Linked DNA regions of Rattus norvegicus. The protein of the gene in region 1 interacts with the protein of each later gene in a biochemical or structural test. Links are inferred from orthologs where the notes say so. Each region holds a gene or a part of one and is shown in the gene's direction. Other genes may lie near its edges. The genes, in order: Nr2f1, Ahr and Bcl11b.

Region 1 (3,744 bases):
TTAACTAGCTCTGTGTGTTATAGCAGAAGAAGCAGAAGAAGCAAGAAAGAGGAAAAGAAGAGGATTATTTATTCGACCTACTTTGGATGTCTCTCTCGCTTTCTCTTTTTCCTTTTTTTCTCAAGTATTTTCTTCTGATTTTTATTTTTTTTCCTATTTCGCTGTGAATTCGTCGCTGGCGTGAATTATCTCGTATTTTTCTCCCCCTTCCGTCACCTCCCGAAAGAAGAAGGCAGAGAGAACCCGGCGCCACCCGCACAACAAAAAGAGCAAAGTGTGTGATCTTCCTCGCCGGCTGCCTCCCGCTCTCCAGAGCTGCCTTCCTGAATGGCTGGCTGCGTCCGGCCCTGGACCTGGCCCCCCGACACCCGAGCGCCCTGATCGTCGCCGGCAGCTTCGCCCTGCGTCCTGCTCGACTCTCCCAGCTCCCCGCACTCTTGAAACCGGGCGAGGGCTCCCGCCGGGACAGCGGCGGAGGCGCGGGCAGCCCCGGCCTCGGCTCGCGCTCGGGCTGCGGCCCCGACTCCAGCTCGGACTCCCGCCCGGGCCCCAGCTCCTCCAGCGGCGCTCGCAGCGGCGGCCGAGGCTGCTCCTCCGGCGGCGCCTGCAGCCGCGACCTCCTCCTCCTCCTCCTCCGCCGCCGCCGCCGCCGCCGCCCTCGCCGCTTCCTCTATGTCGGCTCAGCCCGCGCTCTGCGCGTAGCCCCAGCGGCCGGCCGGCCGGCGGGCGGGCGGGCGGGCGCCGGGCGCGAGTGAGAGAGTGTGTGTGCGAGTGTGTGTGTGCGCGGGTGTGCGGGCGAGGCGGAGGGCGAGTGTGTGCGCGCGCCGTGGCCCATGCCCGCCGCCCCCGGCGCTGCGCCCCGCGCCGCTCCCGGCTGCCGCCTGTGCCATTTCTGATTTTGCAACTTGGGGAAGAAGAAAAAAGCGAGAGAAGGGAGCTCGCTCGCCGGGGGGTGGGGAGGGGGGAGAGAGAGCGCGGCCCCCCCAGGAACGGAGCGCGGGGGGGAGCGGGCGAGGGGAGCAGGGGTGTTGGGGGGGAGCCTGAGAGCCTGGGGGGGCTGCAAAAAGAGAGAAAGAAAACAGCAGGAACCACAACAAAACGCCAGCAGGGCGGGCGGGCGCGCAGCAGCAGCGGGGCGGCCGAGGCAGTAACGGCGGCGGCGGCGGCGGCGGCGGCGGCTCAGGCAGAGGCCGGTGCCCGGCTCGGGCTTGGCTCCGGCGACCCCGGGGTGCCCGGTGGGCCCCCCGCCCCCTCCCCCTCCCCCCTTCCCCTTCCCCTTCCCCTCCCAGCGCGCCCGCGCGCCCCGCGGCCCTCGGCGAGCAGCTCGGCTCCCCCCAGCGCTCCCCGGGCCCAAAGATATGGCAATGGTAGTTAGCAGCTGGCGAGATCCGCAGGACGACGTGGCCGGGGGCAACCCCGGCGGCCCCAACCCCGCAGCGCAGGCAGCCCGCGGCGGCGGCGGCGGCGAGCAACAGCAGGCGGGCTCCGGCGCGCCGCACACGCCGCAGACCCCGGGCCAGCCCGGAGCGCCCGCCACCCCCGGCACGGCGGGGGACAAGGGCCAGGGCCCGCCGGGTTCGGGCCAGAGCCAGCAGCACATCGAGTGCGTGGTGTGCGGGGACAAGTCGAGCGGCAAGCACTACGGCCAATTCACCTGCGAGGGCTGCAAAAGTTTCTTCAAGAGGAGCGTCCGCAGGAACTTAACTTACACATGCCGTGCCAACAGGAACTGTCCCATCGACCAGCACCACCGCAACCAGTGCCAATACTGCCGCCTCAAGAAGTGCCTCAAAGTGGGCATGAGGCGGGAAGGTGAATATTTCTTCTCTGCTTCTCTCCCTGCGCTTCGCCCGCCTCCCTGCTCTTTCTTTCTCTCTCGCCTTGGTGGCTATGGCTGTGGGGATGGGGCTCCTGTGGTCCCAGCCGGTCCGGCTTCCCATTCCTCGCTGCTTTCCTCCCCCAGCGTCCCCCACCCCACCCCCCCAGCTCGCTGCTGCTGCCTCCCCCTCCCGGCCTGCGCTCCTCTCCCGGGCTCCTCCACCCCTCCCGCTGCCTGCTCAAGATTGTGTCCCTGGGATCCAGAGCTGTAGCTTAAAAATCCCTCCCTTCCTCCGTTGGATGTGCTCCGTGTGTGTTTCGCTCCCGCTTGTGTGTGAGGATGCTAGGGGCTGTGCTGGCATGAACTTGGGAGGGGTGCTGATTTTCCGCAGAAAACCGTTTCTCTCTGTGTGTGTTTTTGGTTTTGTTTTTTCGTTTTTCCCATTCCACTTTCTCCTCCGCCTCATCGTATCTTTTATTTATAATGGGAGAGGACTGGGGCTGGAGGACCCTGATCCTTAGATTCATTGCTGCCACCATCCTTTAGGAAGCTTAGCTTGGAAAAAGAGGAGTGAGATTTATTGCACTTGTAGGTCTAATTAGGGGGAAGGGGGGCTTCTGGCCTGTTCACTGGCTCCCTCTCCTCTTCAGGGACCTGGGGCCGCCTCCTCCCGAGCTGTGGCCTTGTTTTCACCCCTATACTTTGAAAGGAAAGTTTGTGACTGAACCCTGCTTTTATAGTAGTGTCATTTTTAAAGCTTGATACTCGTTTTATTTCTTCATCAAACTCCACCCTCTGTTTAAATACTGCATACAAATTACAATTTACAACGGCATTTACCGATCCTTCTGATTTGGCTATAATGCATAAGCTGCAGCTGGCATGAGCTTCTGCATCGATGTGTGGGTTGTTTTTTTTTTTTTTAAGCACAACTTTTGATGTTGGATTTGGATATACTTCATGTTCATGTGGCATGAGATGGAACACTTTTTTTACAAATATATTTAGTGGTTTATAGTTAAAGTTTATCTCCTGACAATCATTAAAGATATAGTCAAATTAGTGAACCAGTCAATTTCGAAGAATGTAGATTACTTCTCCTTGTAATGGCTTAAAATTATATTTTATATACCACAAGAAAAGAAATTGGATTCCTTCAGATCTCAAGGAAGAGGCAAATATGATGACTTCATTTCTAGCTCCAGGGAGATTCTGCAGGCATCTGGGGGGGGGGGGGCTTTGAATTGTGCTCTCATTTAATTGAAAAATAACTGCCAAGTTCAAAACTATAATTAGAAAAAGTATTCTAACCATTGTGTTTCAAGAGCGTAAACTGCACTGCAACTCTTGTTGGAAGTAGAACCAAAGAAAATAGAGCAGAGCCTGAGACAGGACAGCTCTGTGGACATGGACCTATCTCTACTAATTTGTTGGGGGGTGGCAGTTCAGTAGCCCTAACTTTCCCTAGCTTTGTCTTTGTTTACATGGCAATTTAAAATGCTGGCACTGTTGAAGTAAAACATACACATAAAAAAAAAACTTTGGTCAGCTTTAAGAACTCAAAGCATGCTTACGTTTTGCATGCAGATGGTTAATGAATCCAGTGTTTTTGCAGTTGCAAGCTCGTGCATTCACTGGGCAAAGCTGGCTGCAGGTTGCAGTGGCATCGCACAGGACAGACATTAATTATAGTTCCTACTTTTTTCAATAATGTTTGGCTACTGTAAGTTCAACTTTCTCTTGAAATTTTTACATGTTCTGTTGCTTTTAATAGTGAGAACTTTGTATGGGGTAGTCGGGAGGAGGGAAGGTGGGAGGAGGTGTGTATGATGTTTCTCGGGGTCCAAACTTGTAAGTGCTTAGTAAGATATGTAACTTGTATCTCTTTTAAAGATAATTCTGTAGCACTTTAGAGATTGTGGGAA
Region 2 (3,744 bases), on another chromosome or scaffold:
GGTTCCTCTTCCTCCACAGTCTCGGCACCATTTGTTGTTCTTAGCTTTCTGGATGTCCTTTTCCTTGCTGCCATGCATCCTCTCTTCTAATCTCTCTCAAATCTATAAAACGCACCCAACTTCATCTGCGTCTCCACCATGTCCAGCATCACCGCCCTGACTCCCAAAATGCACTGCTCTGCCTCTATTCTTTGGTGGTTAACAGCCAACTTCCCTCCTTTACTATCTCTGCCTTCTTCTCCCTCATCCCTATTGCTGTGCCATCGGACTTGCACCTGCACGGCTTCAGACTTCATCAACTTCCCAGCGACTCTCTCTTCATCCACTTTGCTCCCGAGTAACAGAATTGCCACCTCTTCCCACAGTGACTTTCCCGAGATAGCAGGAATAGTATCTTCCAAATTCAGGCTTTAAAAGTGTCCCATCGCCTACAGAATGAGACCCAACTTCTTTATTAAGGCTTGATGATTGGTTTCTTGGTTTTCTGAGTATCCATTACATTTTTTTTTCCTACCACCAGATCTACCGGACTACCAACAAAGGCTCAGCTCTCTGGTCATAGTCTTAGTACCTATCCTCCCATTTCTCAGCACCCCTATGCTTCTTTCCTACACATCTTCCTGAAGTCTGATGAAGAAAAAGATATTTTATTACCTTCTGTAGATACAGTAAATGTGGGAGGGAAAGGTATTATAAAACTCCTGGCCTTCAAGGCTCAACTCTGTAGGGCTTCTGTAGCTTTCCCCTTAGAGTGCTCTTCAGTCACAGTATTTATCAACCAGCTCAATGTAAAATCTTTGTCAAAACTTAGATGACTCAACTCTAGGAGGAGCTAAGCTCTTTGCCTAATAAATCTTGATGTCTGGGTACAAGGAATTTGCCCAGACATAATGTGGCCTCACACTCCCTTCCAGGCTGGAAAACAGGTACTAGTTGAACACCACCCCGCCTCCAGAACCTCTGGCTGGAAGAAATGTAGGGAGACACTACGTCCTGCGTCATCACGTGCTGCGAGGAGGGTGGGGCCCTCCTGGGAACCGTGAGGGGCGGGGCTGAGCAGGTGGGGCGGGGCTGGAGCCCGGGGCGGAGCTGCGCGGGGTCGCGACAGCGGAGGAGCGGGCTCGCGGCGGGCGGCAGCGCGTGTGTGCGGTCCCCTCGACGCTCGGTGCCCCACGCGTGTCCCGGAGAGGTTCAGCCCGGAGCGACCCGGAGGACGGACTGGTAGACTCTGGGGTGGCAGCCTTGCTGGGCTTTGAGCAGCGCGGGCTTATCGCCTGAGCAGGGAAGCCCTTGAGCACTACGGCTCCTCCTGACCCTCGGGACCGGGCGCGGCTGGCTTGCGGGTTTCTCCTCCGCGGCTAGCCCGGGCAGCCCCGCGTCCCCTCTGTCGCCCGCACCTGCGCGTCGCGGTCGGTCCCGCCCTCGGTGGCGGCGGCTCACCTGGGCGCAGCGCGGGCAGGGCGCCGCCTCCGGGACGCAGGTGGAGCGGGCAGGGCGCGGGCACCATGAGCAGCGGCGCCAACATCACCTATGCCAGCCGCAAGCGGCGCAAGCCGGTGCAGAAAACGTGAGTGACGGCGGGCAGGCGCGCTCTGCGGGTGCGGGAGGTCCCCACGCGTGCAGCCATCCGGGAGCAGGGGCTCAACCAATGCATTAAAAAATTCGTCCCTGCTTTCGGGCGCCTGCACCTTCGCAGCTCAGCGACCTTCCCTGGCCCTGATTCGTTGACAGCTCTGACCTACCTAGTGCCTCTCTGGCTTAGTTAGTTAAGCCTGCCTGGAAATCCTCCACTCTAGATCTCCACCGTGGTGAGCTTTAGGGGACAGCTCACTGAGGTGAGAAGTTGGCCAGAGCTAAACACGTGCCGTCTTGAAGGAGGGGTCCTGGCCTCTGAGGGAATTTCTTTCTGTTCTTAGCGTCTAGCTTTCTGTTTTGCTCTTTCCTTTACCTCTAGGCAGCGATTTTGCCGGGCTCAGAATAGGCGCAGAGTTGGTAGCAGGTTGGAGTGTGCCTTGGACAGGTGCTCGGGCGGCTTGGTGGCATTCATAGCCACTCTTTAGTGACACTTTCTTCCTCCTTTTGGAGTGCTTGTAGGGTATATAAAATTTTTTAAAAATTAAGGAGAGGAAAAAGAACTGGACTGACTTCTAAGTTATTTCTACTGTCTACCTGTAATTCATCTCCCCTTGCTTATAAAGTTTTGCCGATTCTAACAGTGATTACAGACTTTGGTCTTTGTTTCCATGGGCTATTTCTGTGAGATGGGAGATATTCATAAACATTTTTTTTCACAGAAAAGAGATCCGAGCATGAGACAGGGTTCCATTTAGGAGTTGGGTGTATTGATGCATTCATTCATAATTATCTTGGAGTTTCCACAACTCACCATTTCTTATTTTTTTAAATAAATTATTTTAGGAACACTTTCAGGTAATCAGTAGTGTGCATTTTGCTTGAAACCTGACAGCCATCACCAAGTGAACCAGAAAAATAAGATCTTAAGATTTATACACTGTTTACAACTAGTTACTAACTTAGAACTTGGGTTATTTGTGGATTTTAATTCCGTTAAGAATTTCAACTGTCATAGTTCTTCAAATCTTGACTTAAAAATTAATTTTAAGAGGAGATGCTTGTGTATAAATAGTCTGATCAGAATTTGGAAATTTTATGGTACACTTTAAAGGACGCAAATATCGTTGACTCAGCAGTTTTCCACCTCGGCAGTTCTTTGGACCCCGGCTTTCAGCGCCTTGTTATTTTGTAAAATGGTTTCTTTTTATTAAACCATGTTTGCTCAATTTGACTTTGTTCCTGATGGTTAAAGTTTCAGAGGCTTTTAAGTGCTTGTTCCCTGTTTTTGTTAATAGTAATACTAACTTAGCCTGAGATGAAAAAAACTCAGATGTTATGTACAAGGGCGTAAAGTCTGAAGCTCCCCGTGAGTTTTTTAAATAACTGATTTTCTCTGTGTTTCTTAAGGATGTAAACTGCTTTTCATACAAAGGTAACCATCTCAGAGGTTGCTCTTTATAACGTTGGATATCTTTAGTTTCCAGTCAATATAAAGAGCTTCCTTTTTAACACTGCAACACTTCCCCTTAGATTAAGATACCTTTAACTGTATTGCCACTATTTGTGTTTGATAATTTCTCACAACTGAACTGTTGTCCCCACTAACTTATATTTTATTTTACATGGTTCTTGACTTCTGTACTGAGCCCCTTTAATCAACTCTAACCCTTCATAGGCCTTAAAGGTCACCACTTGCTTTGTCGAAGACTTTTAGTGCTAGCACTTAGATCCTCTAGTGAAAGTACTTACATTTTTCCCTCCGAGTAGAAAATAGTGAACTTTATAATGCACATAATCAAAGTTCATCCTTAACAATTAGATCATTGAGCTTTAATATGTCTTTAAGTTAAACTACTTCTATGCAGTGAGGCCCCCAAATACCTCAATTTTAGGAAAAACACAAAGATGTGTTGACCGTGCTTTCTAATTAACTCGAACCCTTCAAGGGAGAGCTGTTTTATAAGGAGCATGTGCACTGTAATTCTACAGTGTTAAATAATGTCATATTTAGACAGTTCCATGAAAATTTGGAGTAAAGTAGGTGACATGATTTCAACTTGAAGCTTGTTCATTCTTCAAATGAGGATCTAGATACAAAATAAGCTCCCTCTGGTGGCTGGTCTCACCATGACAGTTATCGGGAGCAGGAAGTGAGTTTGAAATGTGTTC
Region 3 (3,744 bases), on another chromosome or scaffold:
GCGAGTGTGTGTGAGTGCGCGCGCGCGTGTCTCGGTGTGTGCTTTCTTGTTCTCTTACAGGGTACAATGTTAAAAAGCCACCGCTAGTCGCCCCCAGTGCTCCGACTCTCTGGGTCTTTTTGTCTCTAGAGCAGATTAAACGTCACGTCCGCACTTGAACTTGAATTTTATCCCATTGTACAGAGGCAGCCCCAGCCACAGAGAGACCGAGAGCTCCCGGAGAACCCGGACTCCGCCATCTTCACGTTGCAATCTATAGCTCCCGTCCACGCCCGCACCGACCCGGGCGCATTGGGCGAGCCGCCCCGCAGTCCCGCTCCCCCTGGGCCGGCGGCGCCGGGCAGCGCTGGGGAGCGCACGCGGGGACCCGCAGCCCCTCCGGCCGGCGCCAGCCTGCCAGGTGACCCGGGAAGGAGCCGCTCCCGGAGTCCCCCAGAGCCTCGGAGGGGTCAGCCTCCGAGAAAGAAAAAAAGCAGGCAGCGCGCAGAAAACCCAGAAAGAACCGAACCAAGGCAGTTTTTCATTGCTTTCGGGTTTTTTGAGGGGGCGGGGTGAGGGGGTACGAGACAAGTCCCCAAGTTTTCTTTGCCTTTTTTTTTTTTTTTGCTTTTTTGAAATTTGTTTGCATTTTTCCTCCCCCCTCCCCTTGGGTGGAAGTGCGCGTTCCACCTACCAGACCCCGAAAGAAAAGTGTCAGAGGCCGGTGCAAAACCCGGCGTAACTTCAAGAAGACATTTACAAGTCTAAGAGGCCAAGCACTTTGAAGAAGTGTGAGAGATATTTTTCCTCCAAAAGAATATATTTTTAAAGAAACCGGCCAGCCCGCGGCGAGCAACAGCAGCTTTATAATTTATTTTAGCCTTTCTCTATTTTAGAGCAAGCCATCTTCCTGGCTTTTTCTTTTTTCTTTTTGCAAAAACAAAAACAAAAACACAGCCCAGAAGAAAAAGCAAAATAAAGACGAAGAAGAAGAAGAAGAGGAGGAAGAGAGGAAGGGCAGAGGCACCAACCCGGGCGGAGGAGGAGGCGCGGCGGCGGCGGCGGCGGCTCAGACCCCCTCCCCGGCCCGCATCTGTGCAGCTTTCCGGGCGATGCCAGAATAGATGCCGGGGCAATGTCCCGCCGCAAACAGGGCAACCCGCAGCACTTGTCCCAGAGGGAACTCATCACGCGTAAGTGTCCGCCGCACGCGCGAGGGGCCGGCGGCTGGGGCTCCGGGCGCCCGGGGCTGGGGACACCAAACCGGGCTCAGAGGCCGAGCGTGGGGCTCTGGGAAAGTTTCTCTGCAGCCGGGGGCAGCCGCCGCGGGCTCCGGGCCGGGGAGGGGGTGCGCGGGCTTGCAGGCGGCTGTGCGCGCCGAGCCCGGCTGGACGCTCGGCCCTCCAAGCGGCGTGTGTGGCGGCGGCGGCGCTGGTGGCGGGGTTTGGAGAGGAGGGGGAGGGGGCCGGGGAGCGGAGGGGGAGGGGGAACCGGGAAAAGTTGGCGAGCGCGTGGGTCCGCGCTCGGAGAAGCGGGCGGACGGAGCCCCGAGTGAGCCCTGGACCCGAGGACCCGCAGGGTAAAGGGGTAGCCGCGGGCTTCGGGTTCCCGGTCGCTGCGCCCCGCCAGGCAGGGCGCCGACCGCGCCGCTGCTAGGATTCCGAAGCCGCCGTCCCCTCCCCTCCTCTCGCTATTTGCAAAAGAATCCAGCTGCGCAGCTGTTTGCTGGGCTGGAGCACCCCCTCCTCATTTCCCCACCTCCGTCTCCTGGGACGGTCTTGTCTTCTTTCCCCCCCAACTCAAAAAAAAAAAAAAGGTGTGGGGGGAGGTTTTGGGTTGGTGAAAAAAAATCCCCGCCACGAGTTAAAAAAAAGAGTCATGAGTGGGAAAAGAGGGATGCTCTTGTAACAGTAAAAATGAAGAGGAGAAAAAAAAAAGGAAGGGGAGAAAATACCTATCATCCTCTTATCCATCTCTCTATCTCTGTATCTTTCATCTTCCCCATCTAAATAAACAAGGCAGGTCGCAGTGCAAATCCGCCGGATTTCAAGCAAGTGGCGGGGCTGGCAAAGTCAGGCAGCAGGGCAGACACTCAGCGGCTTCCAACGCCCCAGCTGGGTTCGTTTAGAAAAGAAAACGCCAGCGCGAGCCGCGCAGGTACACAGTTCTCCCGGAACCCGCCGGGTCCCGGCGCTGCCACCAGCGAGGTCGGCTTGCAGAGCTCTGGGACGCCCTGGCCGCAGCCAGCGCGAGTCTCTCCCCGCGGGTTTTTTTTTTTTCTCTTTTGGTTGCGGTTGCTTTTTATTTATTATTTTTTTTATTGCAATAGAAATAAAATTTCCTCTGGGTGCCATCGAGACCTCAGGCAGGTTGTAATCTTGCAATTCTTCGCTCACCTCACTGCGTTGGGGCCGGGCTCCCCGCGCTGGAGCTGGAGAAGCCTGTGAATGACGGGCCGCCGCTGAGGACTGACTGCCCTGCAGTCGAGAGCCGAATATTTATGTTATATTTTAAAGAATTTAAATAAATAAATAAATATATAAAGGGGCTCTCCCCTCCCCTCCAACCCAGCACAGGAGCCATCTGCTCGAAGCTATTGCTGTTCCCATCTCTCCTTTGTTACCGCAGACACGTTAGTAAGAATTCGTGCGTTTATTATTATTATTATTATTATTATTATTATTATTATTATTATCTCGGGGGGCATATATATTAAAGTGAGGTTCTTGGGAGAGGGATGTCTCTTACGGGTAGAAGGGAAGGGAAGTTTCCTTTATTTTTTTCAATGTTGTAATGTCAAAGGAGACTTGCTGGTTGCATTTAAAACAAAATGTTTTGCAGCCAAATTTGAGCCTGGTCTCATCAAGATCCTTTTGACCACTTGACATTTATTTTCTTCCTTTAGCATGCTGCAGCCATGGGTTATTTTACAGTCCACTTCCTACCTTTAGGTGAAGTGGTTGTTAAAACATCCACACTTCCAGACCCTAATTTGTCCAAGAGGCAGTTTGCTGCCACCCCCATCCCCTGTATAATTGCAAGAATTGTTTTTGAGGGGGGGGGTCTGTGGGAAGGGGAGAAGCTGGTAGCCCCTGACACTGGGTCATTTGCAGTATTAGGGGAAAGGCAGATAGATTTGCTGTCCTTCTCTGGGCATCCCTGGGACATCCTGAGCAAGCTCTGACCAGAGGGACCGGTGGCAGCTGGGCCTGGGGGTGAGGGGTGCTTCATGTGACATCCTTCCATGCATTTGGTTCTCTGTCTCACCCTTGCTCTGAGCAGCTGGGAAAAGCCAGCTGATGCTTCTGCAGAGGCAGAGAAGGCAAGAGTGCTGGAGAGAAAAGGGGGCAGCAGGCCAGGCTGCTGAGCAGTTCTACCTGCCTTCTGGGGACCCTGGGAGCCTGGGCATTGTTTCAGGGGGTTAAGCAGGGAGAGCGGTTCAAAAGGTGTTCAGAAAAGCAGCTGGCTTTTCTGTCCGTGCAGTATCACCCCAGAGGTAGCAAGACCGGGATGCAGGAGATACAGTGTAGCCTGGGGATTGTGACTAGTTATGAAGCATGGGATACAGGAGCTCTGATTGCAAAAGGCCTGGGCAGCCGAGCAGGTGTTGTCTCAGCCCCTACAGACACTCACTCCCATGTGAGATTTTAGATCTGAAGGAAACCATCTAAGACGTGGCCGATCGGTTTTTTTTTTTTTTTTTTTTTTTTTTTTTTTTTTTTTTTTTTTTTTTTCAGTTGGGTGGCAGCCTTGGGCCTGTGGGGC

The links.
Region 2: the proteins of Nr2f1 (region 1) and Ahr form a complex in vitro, tested with the Homo sapiens proteins (2 studies listed by BioGRID). The link is inferred for Rattus norvegicus from reciprocal best matches to the Homo sapiens genes NR2F1 and AHR.
Region 3: the proteins of Nr2f1 (region 1) and Bcl11b form a complex in vitro, tested with the Homo sapiens proteins (2 studies listed by BioGRID). The link is inferred for Rattus norvegicus from reciprocal best matches to the Homo sapiens genes NR2F1 and BCL11B.

Annotation. Positions count from the first base shown.
Region 1 is NC_086020.1:9,783,271-9,787,014, reverse strand, and holds the start of Nr2f1 (COUP transcription factor 1), read left to right. Parts: upstream 1-1,090; 5' UTR 1,091-1,358; coding exon 1,359-1,812; intron 1,813-2,027; exon of another isoform or gene 2,028-3,529; coding exon of another isoform or gene 3,530-3,542; intron 3,543-3,744. UniProt on the Homo sapiens protein: Coup (chicken ovalbumin upstream promoter) transcription factor binds to the ovalbumin promoter and, in conjunction with another protein (S300-II) stimulates initiation of transcription. Binds to both direct repeats and palindromes of the 5'-AGGTCA-3' motif.
Region 2 is NC_086024.1:57,996,635-58,000,378, reverse strand, and holds the start of Ahr (aryl hydrocarbon receptor), read left to right. Parts: upstream 1-1,477; 5' UTR 1,478-1,505; coding exon 1,506-1,567; intron 1,568-3,744. UniProt on the Homo sapiens protein: Ligand-activated transcription factor that enables cells to adapt to changing conditions by sensing compounds from the environment, diet, microbiome and cellular metabolism, and which plays important roles in development, immunity and cancer.
Region 3 is NC_086024.1:132,688,473-132,692,216, reverse strand, and holds the start of Bcl11b (B-cell lymphoma/leukemia 11B), read left to right. Parts: upstream 1-1,114; coding exon 1,115-1,172; intron 1,173-3,744. UniProt on the Homo sapiens protein: Key regulator of both differentiation and survival of T-lymphocytes during thymocyte development in mammals.